3 linked regions of the Anolis sagrei genome follow. The protein of the gene in region 3 purifies or fractionates together with the protein of the main gene of each other region. This does not show direct contact. Links are inferred from orthologs where the notes say so. Each region holds a gene or a part of one and is shown on either strand. Other genes may lie near its edges.

What was found.
Region 1: the proteins of DVL2 (region 3) and DACT1 purify together in Homo sapiens (affinity purification with western blotting; 3 studies listed by BioGRID and IntAct, with this or other methods). This does not show direct contact. The link is inferred for Anolis sagrei from reciprocal best matches to the Homo sapiens genes DVL2 and DACT1.
Region 2: the proteins of DVL2 (region 3) and NEDD4L purify together in Homo sapiens (affinity purification with mass spectrometry; 4 studies listed by BioGRID and IntAct, with this or other methods). This does not show direct contact. The link is inferred for Anolis sagrei from reciprocal best matches to the Homo sapiens genes DVL2 and NEDD4L.

What each region holds. Positions count from the first base shown.
Region 1 is NC_090021.1:334,345,247-334,348,993, forward strand, and holds the start of DACT1 (dapper homolog 1), read right to left. Parts: upstream 2,750-3,747; 5' UTR 2,687-2,749; coding exon 2,384-2,686; intron 1-2,383.
Region 2 is NC_090022.1:282,592,434-282,596,180, forward strand, and holds the start of NEDD4L (E3 ubiquitin-protein ligase NEDD4-like), read right to left. Parts: upstream 2,267-3,747; 5' UTR 2,079-2,266; coding exon 909-2,078; intron 1-908. UniProt on the Homo sapiens protein: E3 ubiquitin-protein ligase that mediates the polyubiquitination of lysine and cysteine residues on target proteins and is thereby implicated in the regulation of various signaling pathways including autophagy, innate immunity or DNA repair.
Region 3 is NC_090026.1:4,389,141-4,392,887, reverse strand, and holds the start of DVL2 (segment polarity protein dishevelled homolog DVL-2), read left to right. Parts: upstream 1-1,487; 5' UTR 1,488-1,662; coding exon 1,663-1,943; intron 1,944-3,747.

The sequences.
Region 1 (3,747 bases), on a different chromosome or scaffold from region 3:
TCAAAGGTCATGTAGTCCAACCTCCTGCTGTACAGGAAGGCACAATCCAAGCACACCCGACAGATGGCCATTCCAAGAGATTCATAGAATCATAGAGTTGGAAGAGACCTCATCCAAGCCAACCCCATTCTGCCAAGAAGCAGGAAAATCGCATTCAAAGCACTCCCAACAGATGGCCATCCAGCCTTTGTTTCAAAACCTCCAAAAAAGGAGCTTCTACCACACTCTGGGGCAGAGAGTTCCACTGCTGAACAGCTTTGGAGGAACTGAAGGAACAACAACCTCATGGACCATCCAATCCAACCCTTCTGCCAAGAAAATCACATTAAATGAACCCCAAACAGATGGCCATCCAGCCTGTCTTTGAAAGCCTCCAAAGAAGGAGCCTCCTCACACTCCAGGGCAGAGAGTTCCATTGCTGAACAGCTTTGGAGGAACTGAAGGAACAACACCCTCATGGGCCATCCAATCCAACCCCATTCTGCCAAGAAGCAAGAAAATCACATTCAATGAACCCCTGACAGATGGCCATCCAGACTCTACATAAAAGCCTCCAAAGAAGGATCCTCCACCACACTCTGGGGCAGAGAGTTCCACTGCTGAACAGCTTTGAAGGAACTGAAGGAACAACACCCAATCCAACCCAATTTTGCCAAGAAGCAGGAAAATCGCATTCAACACACCCCCAACAGATGGGCATCCAGCCTCTGTTTAAAAGCCTCCATAAAAGGAGCCTCCACCACACTCCAGGGCAGAGAGTTCCACTGTTGAACAGCTTTGGAGGAACTGAAGGAACAACAACCTCATGGGCCATCCAATCCAACCCCATTCTGCAAGAAGCAGGAACATCACATTCAACGAACCCCAAACAGATGGCCATCCAGCCTCTCTTTAAAAGCCTCCAAAGAAGGAGCCTCTACCATACTCTGGGGCAGAGAGTTCCACTGCTGAACAGCTTCGGAGGAGCTGAAGGAACAACCACCTCATGGGCCATCCAATCCAGGAAAAAAGCAGGGGGAAAAAGCAGGAAAATCACATTCAACGAACCCCAAACAGATGGCCATCCAGACTGTATAAAAGCCTCCAAAGAAGGCACCTCCAGGGCAGAGAGTTCCACTGCTGAACAACTTTGTAGGAACTGAAGGAACAACCACCTCATGGGCCATCCAATCCAACCCCATTCTGCCAAAAAGCAGGAAAATCACATTCAACGAACCCCAAACAGATGGCCATCCAGCCTCTCTTTAAAAGCCTCCAAAGAAGGAGCCTCTACCATAGTCTGGGGCAGAGAGTTCCACTGCTGAACAGCTTTGGAGGAACAGCAAGAAGGTAAGAGTTTCCGAACAAAGGATTCCCCCAGTTAGGAAGCCTGAATGTTGCAATTGGCCAGCTTGATTAGCATTGAATGGCCTTGCAGCTTCAAAGCCTGGCTGCTTCCTGTCTAGGGGAAGCCTAGTCTGGGGCAGAGAGTTCCACTGCTGAACAGCTTTGGAGGAACAGCAAGAAGGTAAGAGTTTCTGAACAAAGGGTTCCCCCAGTTAGGAAGCCTGAATGTTGCAATTGGCCAGCTTGATTAGCTTTGAATGGCCTTGCAGCTTCAAAGCCTGGCTGCTTCCTGCCTAGGGGAAGCCTCCCCCAGGAAAAAATTATCTTCAAGACTGTTTATCAGTGGAACTCTCTGCCCCGTAGTGTGGTGGAGGTTCCTTCTTTGGAGGCTTTTAAACAGAGGCTGGATGGCCATCTGTCGGGAGTGCTTTGAATGCAATTTTCGTGGGTTTTTTGGCAGGGGGTTGGACTGGATGGCCCACGAGGTCTCTTCAAATTCTAGGATTTTATGATTCCATCCTCCCAAAATCACCCAAAAGCAATCCAAGAGACAAAACAGCCCCTGACCTTGATTTTTCATCTCTTGTTTCCCCGCAGCTTGAAATCTTGGCTGCCAATGCTGCAGAAAAAGCCTTGGAAAGCAGAAGCAATGCAGCTCCCCACCCACTTGGCTGGGATTCCTGCAGGGGAGAGGGACAAGTACACCCATTGTCCCCTAAATGCCCCCTATGCTCCATGTAAGTCTATGGAAACCGTGGATACCGAAACCCGCGGATAACAAGGTATGGGCCAACTTGGGCCCTCCAGGGGTTTTGGACTTCAACTCCCACCATTCCTAACAGCCGGTAGGCTGTTAGGAATGGTGGGAGTTGAAGTCCAAAACCCCTGGAGGGCCCAAGTTGGCCCGCGGATACGGAAACCCGCGGATACCGAGTCCCGCGGATACCGAGACCCAGCGGGTACCAATTCCCATGATTACCCATAGTCGTGGGACCTGGCACCAAAGGGGTTTCCGTATCCGCGGGTCCCCGTATCCGCGGTCCCTCCTCGGACTCACCAGCTGCCTCCTTAAGAGAAGGATGTTCTCCTCCAAAAACTGCTCCTCCAAACTCCGTGGAGAGGAGGCAGGAGCTGCAGCGGCGACAGCGGCTCCTTCTGCATTCACAGCCGGCGAAGGCGCCTCCTGAGCGGGTAAGGCAGCGGGCATCCACCGCTGGACGCGCAACTCCTGCCGCCGCCGGAGGAAAGACAGCTCAGCCAGCCCGGCCAGCGTGGCCTCGAGGCGCTCGCGGGTCCGGAGGCGCTCGGCTGTCTCCGAAGCCTCGCTCCGGCGCCCGTCCGCCTCCGGGGAAGCCTTCATCCCGGCTTCTTGCCAGCCTCCGAGGAAGGACTCTACTCGATCCTTCCTCCTCGGCTGCCACTGAACGACTGATGCAGTTTCTCTGAGGGAAGCCGAGGCTCCTCCCTTGGCTCCGCCCATTCTGGGACTTAGCCTCGCCCACTTCTTCGCCCTCTTGCGTCTACTGGTCGAGGGAAAACAAAGCTCCTCCCTTCGCTCCGCCTATTGCTGAAATTTCCCCGCCCACTTTTCCCTCCTGCATTCACACTAGTCAATGGAAAGCCAAGCCTGCTCCTGCTTTGGCCCCGCCCATTCTTGACTTGGCCCCTCCCACTTCTCGATACTGTACTCTCTGGTCTATGGAAAGCCAAGCCTACTCTTCCTTTGGCTCCGCCCATTCTGGACTTGGCCACGCCCACTTCTTCTCCTTCCTGCGTTCACTGATCTAGGGAAAGCCAAGCCTCCTCCTTTGGCTCCGCCCATTCTGGATTTTACCCCGCCCACTTTTTCATCCTCCTTCTTCCACTGGTTTATGGAAAGCCAAAGCTCCTCCCTTTGCTCCGCCCATTCTGGACTTGGCCGCACCCACTTCTTCTCCCTACTGTGTCCACTTGTCTATGGAAAGCCAATCCTCCTCCTCCTTTGGTCACGCCCATTCCTGACTTCTCCCCGCCCACTTCTTTCTCCTGCATTCACTAGCAAGCAAGAGTCCAAAAATGGCAGGCTCAAACCCAGAACCTCAACCAATGGCTGATACCAGATGAGAGACTCCCCCCTGGGCACACAGAGGACTGGGCGACTTGGAAGGCGCTGAACAGACTGCACTCTGGCACCACGAGATGCAGAGCCAACCTTCAGAAATGGGGTTACAAAGTGGAGTCCTCGACATGCGAGTGTGGAGAAGGGCAAACCACTGAGCACCTGCTGCAATGCAACCTGAGCCCTGCCACATGCACAAGGGAGGACCTTCTTGCAGCATCACCAGAGGCACTCCAAGTGGCCAGATACTGGTCAAAGGACATTTAATCAACTACCAGACTCACACATTTTTGTATTTTCTCTGTTTGTTTGCTTTGTTCTGT
Region 2 (3,747 bases), on a different chromosome or scaffold from region 3:
AATAGGTATATATCGATAAGTTAAACTGGGTAGAATAAAAGTCTTTTTGTATTACGCAGCAACCATCACAATGCCTTCCCACAGTTAGATGCTGCCTTCCAGCATCGAACTGCAATATATGCCATGATTACACAGGCGGAAGCGATACGGGCCAAAAACATCTCTTTTGTTTGTTTTCATATGGAGCTGGAACATGTAAGAGACTAGTGGCATTCAAGCAACAACAAAGCACAATTTTAAAAAATACAACTTTGGCATTCGTTTATTATATATCCTTCTGTGAAAAAAAACTATGCCTATTGTTTGTAGAATATGAAATATACCTAATTTGTTAAGGCTAATGACGAAAATAGTAGTATAACCAAAACTGAAATTAACAAATCAAAACGTTTGGGATTCCATGACTACTTTTTCACATTTATAAGCAATTAAACAAAAAGACACTAAAACTGCGCTAATATTTTTGAAAAACAGCTTTTGATCCTTAACTTTTAACGAGGTATACATAGTATGTTTGGCATAAATGTATATATCACTTGAGATTTTAAAGATTATAGGACTTTTTTTAAAAGCATAGAAATAAGGCAAAATGGGCAGAGTATTATATACACACACATAACTACCGAACTGTATTTGACAACGTAGCAATGAATTAAGTAACTCATGAGTCACCAGAAGACCTGAAAACATTGCACTGGAAGTAGTCATAACTGAAAGCTACTTTAGCCTAACAAAACATAGATGCTTTCAGATTGTTCTGGAAGATTGTAGGTCTTTCTAACATTGCTATATGATATTTCACAACTATGTGACCTGCACGAAGCATCTGAGTTTCCATTCCCCTTATCCCCTGACTCAAAACAATCTAAGTGAAAACTTAAATTACCACTTCGTTAACATTTACTTACTGATGAATTGGTTGCAACAGGAGCAGAACCAGTTGAATTCTCTGATCCAGAACTTTGACCTTTCTCATTAATCCCACGAGTTACAAGAATTCTGAAATGCTGCTGCCTTGAGTTTTGATCTGGATGGATTTTAAACATGCATCCTTGCCCTGGAGAAACCCGCTCCACTGGATTGCCTCTGGATTTTTCAGTGCCATTCCTGCTATTTCCGTGAAGTGTTGAATTCACACTTTCACCCTCCATGGGGCTAATGCGTTCTGGCTGTGGGTGAACTGGATATGAGGTACTCCTCTCCAGACGTATTCGTGGATACCTAACCAACCGATCCCCTTTCGTTCCCGTGAAACCAAAATTGTAGTCTGTCCCTGTGCTATTTGCCGGGGGCTGCTGCAATTGGAAAACAAAGAATTTCTTTCCTGAATTGGTAGAGCCTTCTGGCAAATGTTGCAAAGACCAGCGCCTGGGTTCTGAGGCCGAAGCATTGTTTGGCGCCTCTGAGTCAAAGGGCATTAGCGTAACATGAGGCACGTCTACGCTCGAAGCCCGATGCTGAATCCTTACCCTGCCAATGTTTAAGCCTAATCCGGTTTTGCTTGCTTCGTGGTCCTGGCCAGTGGCTGCACCATTGTCAGTCCAGTTATTGGAAGGGATGGTACAAAATATCCTGTGATTAGATGGCTCTCCGTTAATCTCATACTCTGGGTTCTCCGCTTGCCTGGGTGGAGAGTTGTCTGGGGTGACCTGCTGACTGTTAGAAGAAGAATGGCTTCCATCAAGAGATGTGCAATGCTCCCCTAAATCTGAAAAATCCCCCATGTCTTCTGGGGGGGATTCCGTGCCCTCGCATTCATCAGCATGCCCATTGACAGCCTTGCGCTGGAGTGAAATCTGCACAGAAGAGCTCCTGGTGGGCCGGGCATCTATGCTGTTGAGAAGCTGAGGAATAAACATAGAGGTGCTCCTCTTCAAGGAACCGGCTTCCCGCAAATCCCTGTGGTTATCTCCACACTCAGCCCTTCGCCTTGAGAAAGTATGAGGCCCATTCCTTCTGGGCAAAGTGTGGCATGCCATGAAAAAGTCATCCTCTTCTCTCTCACGGTCAAGGATCCCCGACTCAGGAGCGGTGTTGCTTCGTCCGGAGCCAAAATGAAACCGCAGCCGATGGGCCATGGTTTCAGGAGAAAGGAGAGGGGAGGGGGAGACAGCGACGAGTCCAGGCACTGCCAGAAATTAAGAACTAAAGACATAAACTCCAAGAAAAAGTGTCCCATCTGCCAAACTGTTAGCACTACTGCACCGATAGAGACAGGCAGCAGAAATAGCCCAAGTGGCCAGCAGCATTCCAGGCATGATTGGATAAGAGCAATCGGTGCTCCTCCAAACTGTGACATAGGGTAGGATGGCTGGCATCACATGACCCATTTCCCCCTCTCCAATGCAAGCAACTATTTTTTTCACTTTAATACCAGCAATAGCCTGAAACAGCACCTTCACAGCTGTTCCTTTTCCATCAGAAAAGGAGCGGCCCCAGCGGGAGATCTCTCACAGCTGACTAAGGCAGCAAACACACTCGACTCCGCTATAAATCTAAACTGCATCATATTCACGGAACATTTCTGTTCTAAGCCAAAAGAAAAAGAAAGACAAGTGGGGGAAGCCACACAAGACCTCTCCCTCCCTCCGTGAAAAATAAATCCACTTAATATGTTCATGCAGATCGGGAATCACCAAGGGAAAAAATGGCTGGGCAAAGGCAGAGAGAGAGAAACTGAAATTTTGTTTGTTTAAAGTTGGCTGCAAACTTCAGACTACTGCAAATACTTATCAGAGAACGCTAGAAACCGCATATTTCTCTCTTTATGCCTGAAGCAATTTAAGCAGCAATACGTTCCTGAAGTGAAAGACACAGATATCATATTGCCACCATAAACGGACTATAATAACCCACTTTGGCTACAGTAAGATCTTTTTGGGGAGGAAAAAAAACAGAGAGAAAAAACTCTTACACGCACAATTCAAGAAGCAGCCAGTAGCAAGCAACAGTCTCTCTTTCCCAGTTTTTAAGAGGTTGAGAAGGCAAGTAAAATCTGGAACAGGGTGTGCATGAAGAGCTGTACAGATCTGACTTAAACACCGTACATAAACGCTGCCCAGCGCTGGCAAAACTCCAGTGAGAAAGTTTAGCAATATTAGTAGCTTGGGTTGCCAGAATGGAACAGAGCTCTGCTTTATTAGGAGCCAAAAGCATCAGAAGAACTAACAGGCAGTCTGAAACCCAAAATTAAACAATGCCCGAATTCGGCTCTGCTCTGTGTGGTAGTTTAAATAATAAGGAGGGGAGGTATGGCTGAAGTACAACTGAAAACACTCCTTCAAGAATGAATTTAAAGGCAAGGCAATGAAACCAAACAGTACTGTCAGGAGGCAAGTACAACAACTGCCTTTGTAAATGAAAGCTTCATAGAGCTAAAGGGGAAAAGAAATCTTATACAGGTGTCGGGTCTGAGTCACATCATAGACATTTCAGCCTCGGTTTTCTAGCAACTTGTTTTCAGACAGAGAAATAAAACAGCTCTAATTACAAAGGGGAAAGGGGAACAGCACTGACAGTCGAAGGCTAGTGCAAACCCCTATTGTGTTTTTGGGATTGGTTTTTAATGTATTTGTGTTGTTTTGAGAATTCTACGCTTATGTTTTGCGTACTCTGTATGTTGGTGTTTTGCTATTTGGAAACCGCCCTGAGTCCCTTAGAAGAGATAGAGTGATATATAAATAAAGTTTATTATTATTATTATTATTATTATTATTATTATTAATAGGTGGCAAGAAACAACAAAAC
Region 3 (3,747 bases):
TTCACTGTGTCTGGTTGTGATCCCCAGGTTGTGCCAGTCAGCTTTCGTATGATATTATTTCTAGCACCCACTTTTTGCTTGATATTCAGGCAGTGCTTCTTGTAGGTAAGAGCACGGTCCAGAGTGACTCCCAGGTCTTTGGGTGTGCTGCAATGCTCCAGTGGGATTCCTTACTAGGTGATCTTCAGAGCTCGGGATGCTTCTCTGTTCTTGAGATGAAAGGCACATGTCTGTGTTTTAGATGGGTTAGGGATCAGCTGGTTTTCCCTGTAATAGGCAGTAAGGGCACCTAGAGCTTCGGAGAGCTTCTGTTCAACCATCTCAAAGCTCCCTGCTTGAGCAGTAATGGCACGATCATCAGCATAGATGAATCTCTCTGTCCCTTCTGGCAGTGGCTGGTCATTTGTGTAGATGTTGAACATGGATGGAGCAAGCACGCTCCCCTGAGGCAGGCCGTTCTTCTGTTTCCGCCATTTGCTTCTCTGGCCCTGGAGCTCAACAAAAAAGCTCCTGTTTTGTAGCAGGTTTCCTATGAGGCGGGTGAGGTGGTTGTCCTTTGTGATACTATACATTTTTCTCAGGAGGAGGTGGTGGTTCACAGTCTCATAGGCTGCTGACAGGTCTACGAAGACAGCTCCTGTGATCTGCTGCCTTTCAAAGCCATCTTCTATGTGCTGAGTCAGGTTCAGCACTTGCGATGTGCAGCTTTTGCCTTTTCTGAAGCCAGCTTGCTCGGGGGTCAGACATGGGTCTAGATTTTCCACAATTCTATGCAAAAGAAGTCTCTCCAGAACTTTGTAGAGGTGGCACAACAGGGAGATTGGTCTGTAGCTTTTTGGGTCACTACGGTCTTTGCCTGGCTTCAAGATGGCAATGACTCTTGCTTTTCTCCAGATTTTGGGGATCTGACAGGATGCAGTGCAGTTGTTGAAGGGAAGGTTGAGAGGAGACATGATGAGGGCCATGTATAAATATGTGAGAGGAAGCCACAGGGAGGAGGAGGGAGCAAGCTTGTTTTCTGCTTCCTTGGAGACTAGGATGCAGTGGAACAATGGCTTCAAGCTACAAGAGAGGAGATTCCATCTGAACATGAGAAAGAACTTGAGAAAGAGCCGTTCAGCAGTGGAACTCTCTGTCCTGGAGTGTGGTGGGGGCTCCTTCTTTGGAAGCTTTTAAGCAGAGGCTGGATGGCCATCTGTCAGGAGTGATTTGAATGCAATATTCCTGCTTCTTGGCAGAATGGGGTTGGACTGGATGATGACCCATGAGGTCTCTTCCAACTCTTTGATTCTATGATTCTATGTTGACAGGCCTAGGAAGCCAGGCTGACCCAAGAAGAAGAAGAAGAAGAGCAGGAGGAGGAGGAGGAGGAGACGCTCGTCACGTGACGCCCCCTCACGCCTTGTTTTCCCCAAGCGAGGGGCGGAGCTGCGCGCGCAACGCGTGCGTGGTGACGTAAGCTGCGCGACGAAAGAGAGGAGAGAGAGAGAGAGAGGGCGGCTTCGTCCCTTCGTTCTTCCCCTTTCCCCCTCCCTTTTTTTATTTTATTAACCCCCCCCCGCTATTAACTTTACCTGCCCCCCCTCTCTTCGGTAACGTGGGCGCGGCCTAAAGGAAGGAGAAGAAGGAGGCGCCTGTGCTTCCGCCCTTCCGCTGGTTGCCATGGCGATGGCGGGCTCCGGGCCTAGCGCGCCGCCTCAGCCTCATCCTCCTCCTCCTCCTGCTCTTCTCAACGCCGCTTCTGCCTCTTCTTCCTCCTCCTCCTCTTCCTCCATGCAGCCCGCGGGCGAGACGAAGGTGATCTACCACCTGGACGAAGAGGAGACGCCTTACCTGGTGAAGATCCCGGTCCCGGCCGAGCGCCTCACTCTAGGCCACGTCAAGGCCGCCCTGGCCAGGCCTGGCGCCAAGTACTTCTTCAAGAGCATGGACCAGGACTTCGGGTGAGGACTCCCGAAGGGGGAGAAGACAGACATCCCTCCCCATGTGCCCCCAAGGAAGGGCCTTGGGCGTTTGGGGAGGGCCCTCTTCTGAGGCCCTGCCCTGCCCTTCAACTCCATTCTTTACAGGGAGATCCTACCCAAGCCCTCCCAACAGATGGCCTTCCACTCTCCAATTATTATTGTTATTAGAAGTATAGAATCCTAGAAGGGGGCCCCAAAGGCCACCCAGTCTGACCCCATTCTCATCTACTTGAATATCTTACCCAAGCCCTCCAGCCTCTGATTATTACTGTTATTATTTATTTATTTATTTATTTCATTCACTTATACCCCGCCCTTCTCACCCCGAGGGGGACTCAGGGCGGCTTACAGGGAGGGCACAATTAGATGTCCAATCACACAACAAGTAATCCAAAAAATATAACAATTCAGCAGTTAGATTAAAACATCAATACATAGTAAAATCATAAAACCTAAACCAATCTCATGTCAGAGTCCATATATCAGTCCATACATCTGTTCTATTCCGTTTGTCCTTGTCTATCACCAGGTCCTTGAGTTAGTTGTCAGAGTGACCAAAAGCTTGGTCCCACATCCAGGTCTTTAGTTTTTTCCTAAATGCTAGGAGGGAAGTCGCCGATCTAATCTCCCCGGGGAGTGAGTTCCACAGGCGGGGGGCCGCCACCGAGAAGGCCCTGCTCCTAGTCCCCGCCAGCCTCACTTGTGAGACTGGCGGGGTCGAGAGCAGGGCCTCCCCAGAAGATCTTAAACTTCGAGGTGGGATGTAGAGGGAGATCCGTTCGGACAAGTACACTGGGCCGGAACCGTATAGGGTTTTATAGGTTATTAGAAGCATAGAATCCTAGAAGGGGGCCCCAAAGGCCACCCAGTCCAACCCCATTGCGTGTTATTGTCTATATATTATTTATTATTTATTTATTTACTTTGCTTATATACCGCTGTATCTCAAGCCCGAAGGCGACTCACAGCGGTTCACAAACAGTAAAAACAGTAGAAACAGCAGTGGTTCCATACAACATATAACAATTGACTTAACACATTATCCATAAATTACCAATAAACAATTACAATGCACAATTATTACAAAAAAAACAACCGTACCCAATCTTCTCATCACCCAAGCGTAGTCCAGGTTCGTCGTCCATTGTTCCATTCCTATGTTCCATTACCAGATTGCACTAAATTACTCAAACGCCTGCACAAACAGCCAGGTCTTCACCTTTTTGCGGAATACCATTAGAGATGGTGCTAGTCTAATGTCCGTAGGAAAGGCAGTGGTTCTCAACCTTCCTAATGCCGTGACCCCTTAATCCAGTCCCTCATGTTGTAGTGACCCCCAACCATTATATTGTTTTCGTTGCTACTTCATAACAGTCATTTTACTACTGTTACAAATCATAATGTAAATATCAGATATGCGGGATGCATTTTCAGTCACTGGACCAAACTGGGCACAAATACCCAATGCACCCACATGTAAATGCTAGTGGGGTTGGGGGAGGATTGATTTTGTCATTTGGGAGTTGTAGTTGCTGGGATTTATAGTTCACTTATAATCAAAGAGCATTCTGAACTCGATGGATTTGAAACAAACTTGGCTCCCATGACCAATGGAAAACACTGGAAGGGTTTGATGGGCATTGACCTTGAGTTTGGGAGTTGTAGTTCACCTATATCCAGAGAGCACTGTGGACTCATGCAATGGACCAAACTTGGCACGAATACTCAATATGCCCAAATGTGAACACTGGTGGAGTCTGGGGAAAATAGATCTTGACATTTG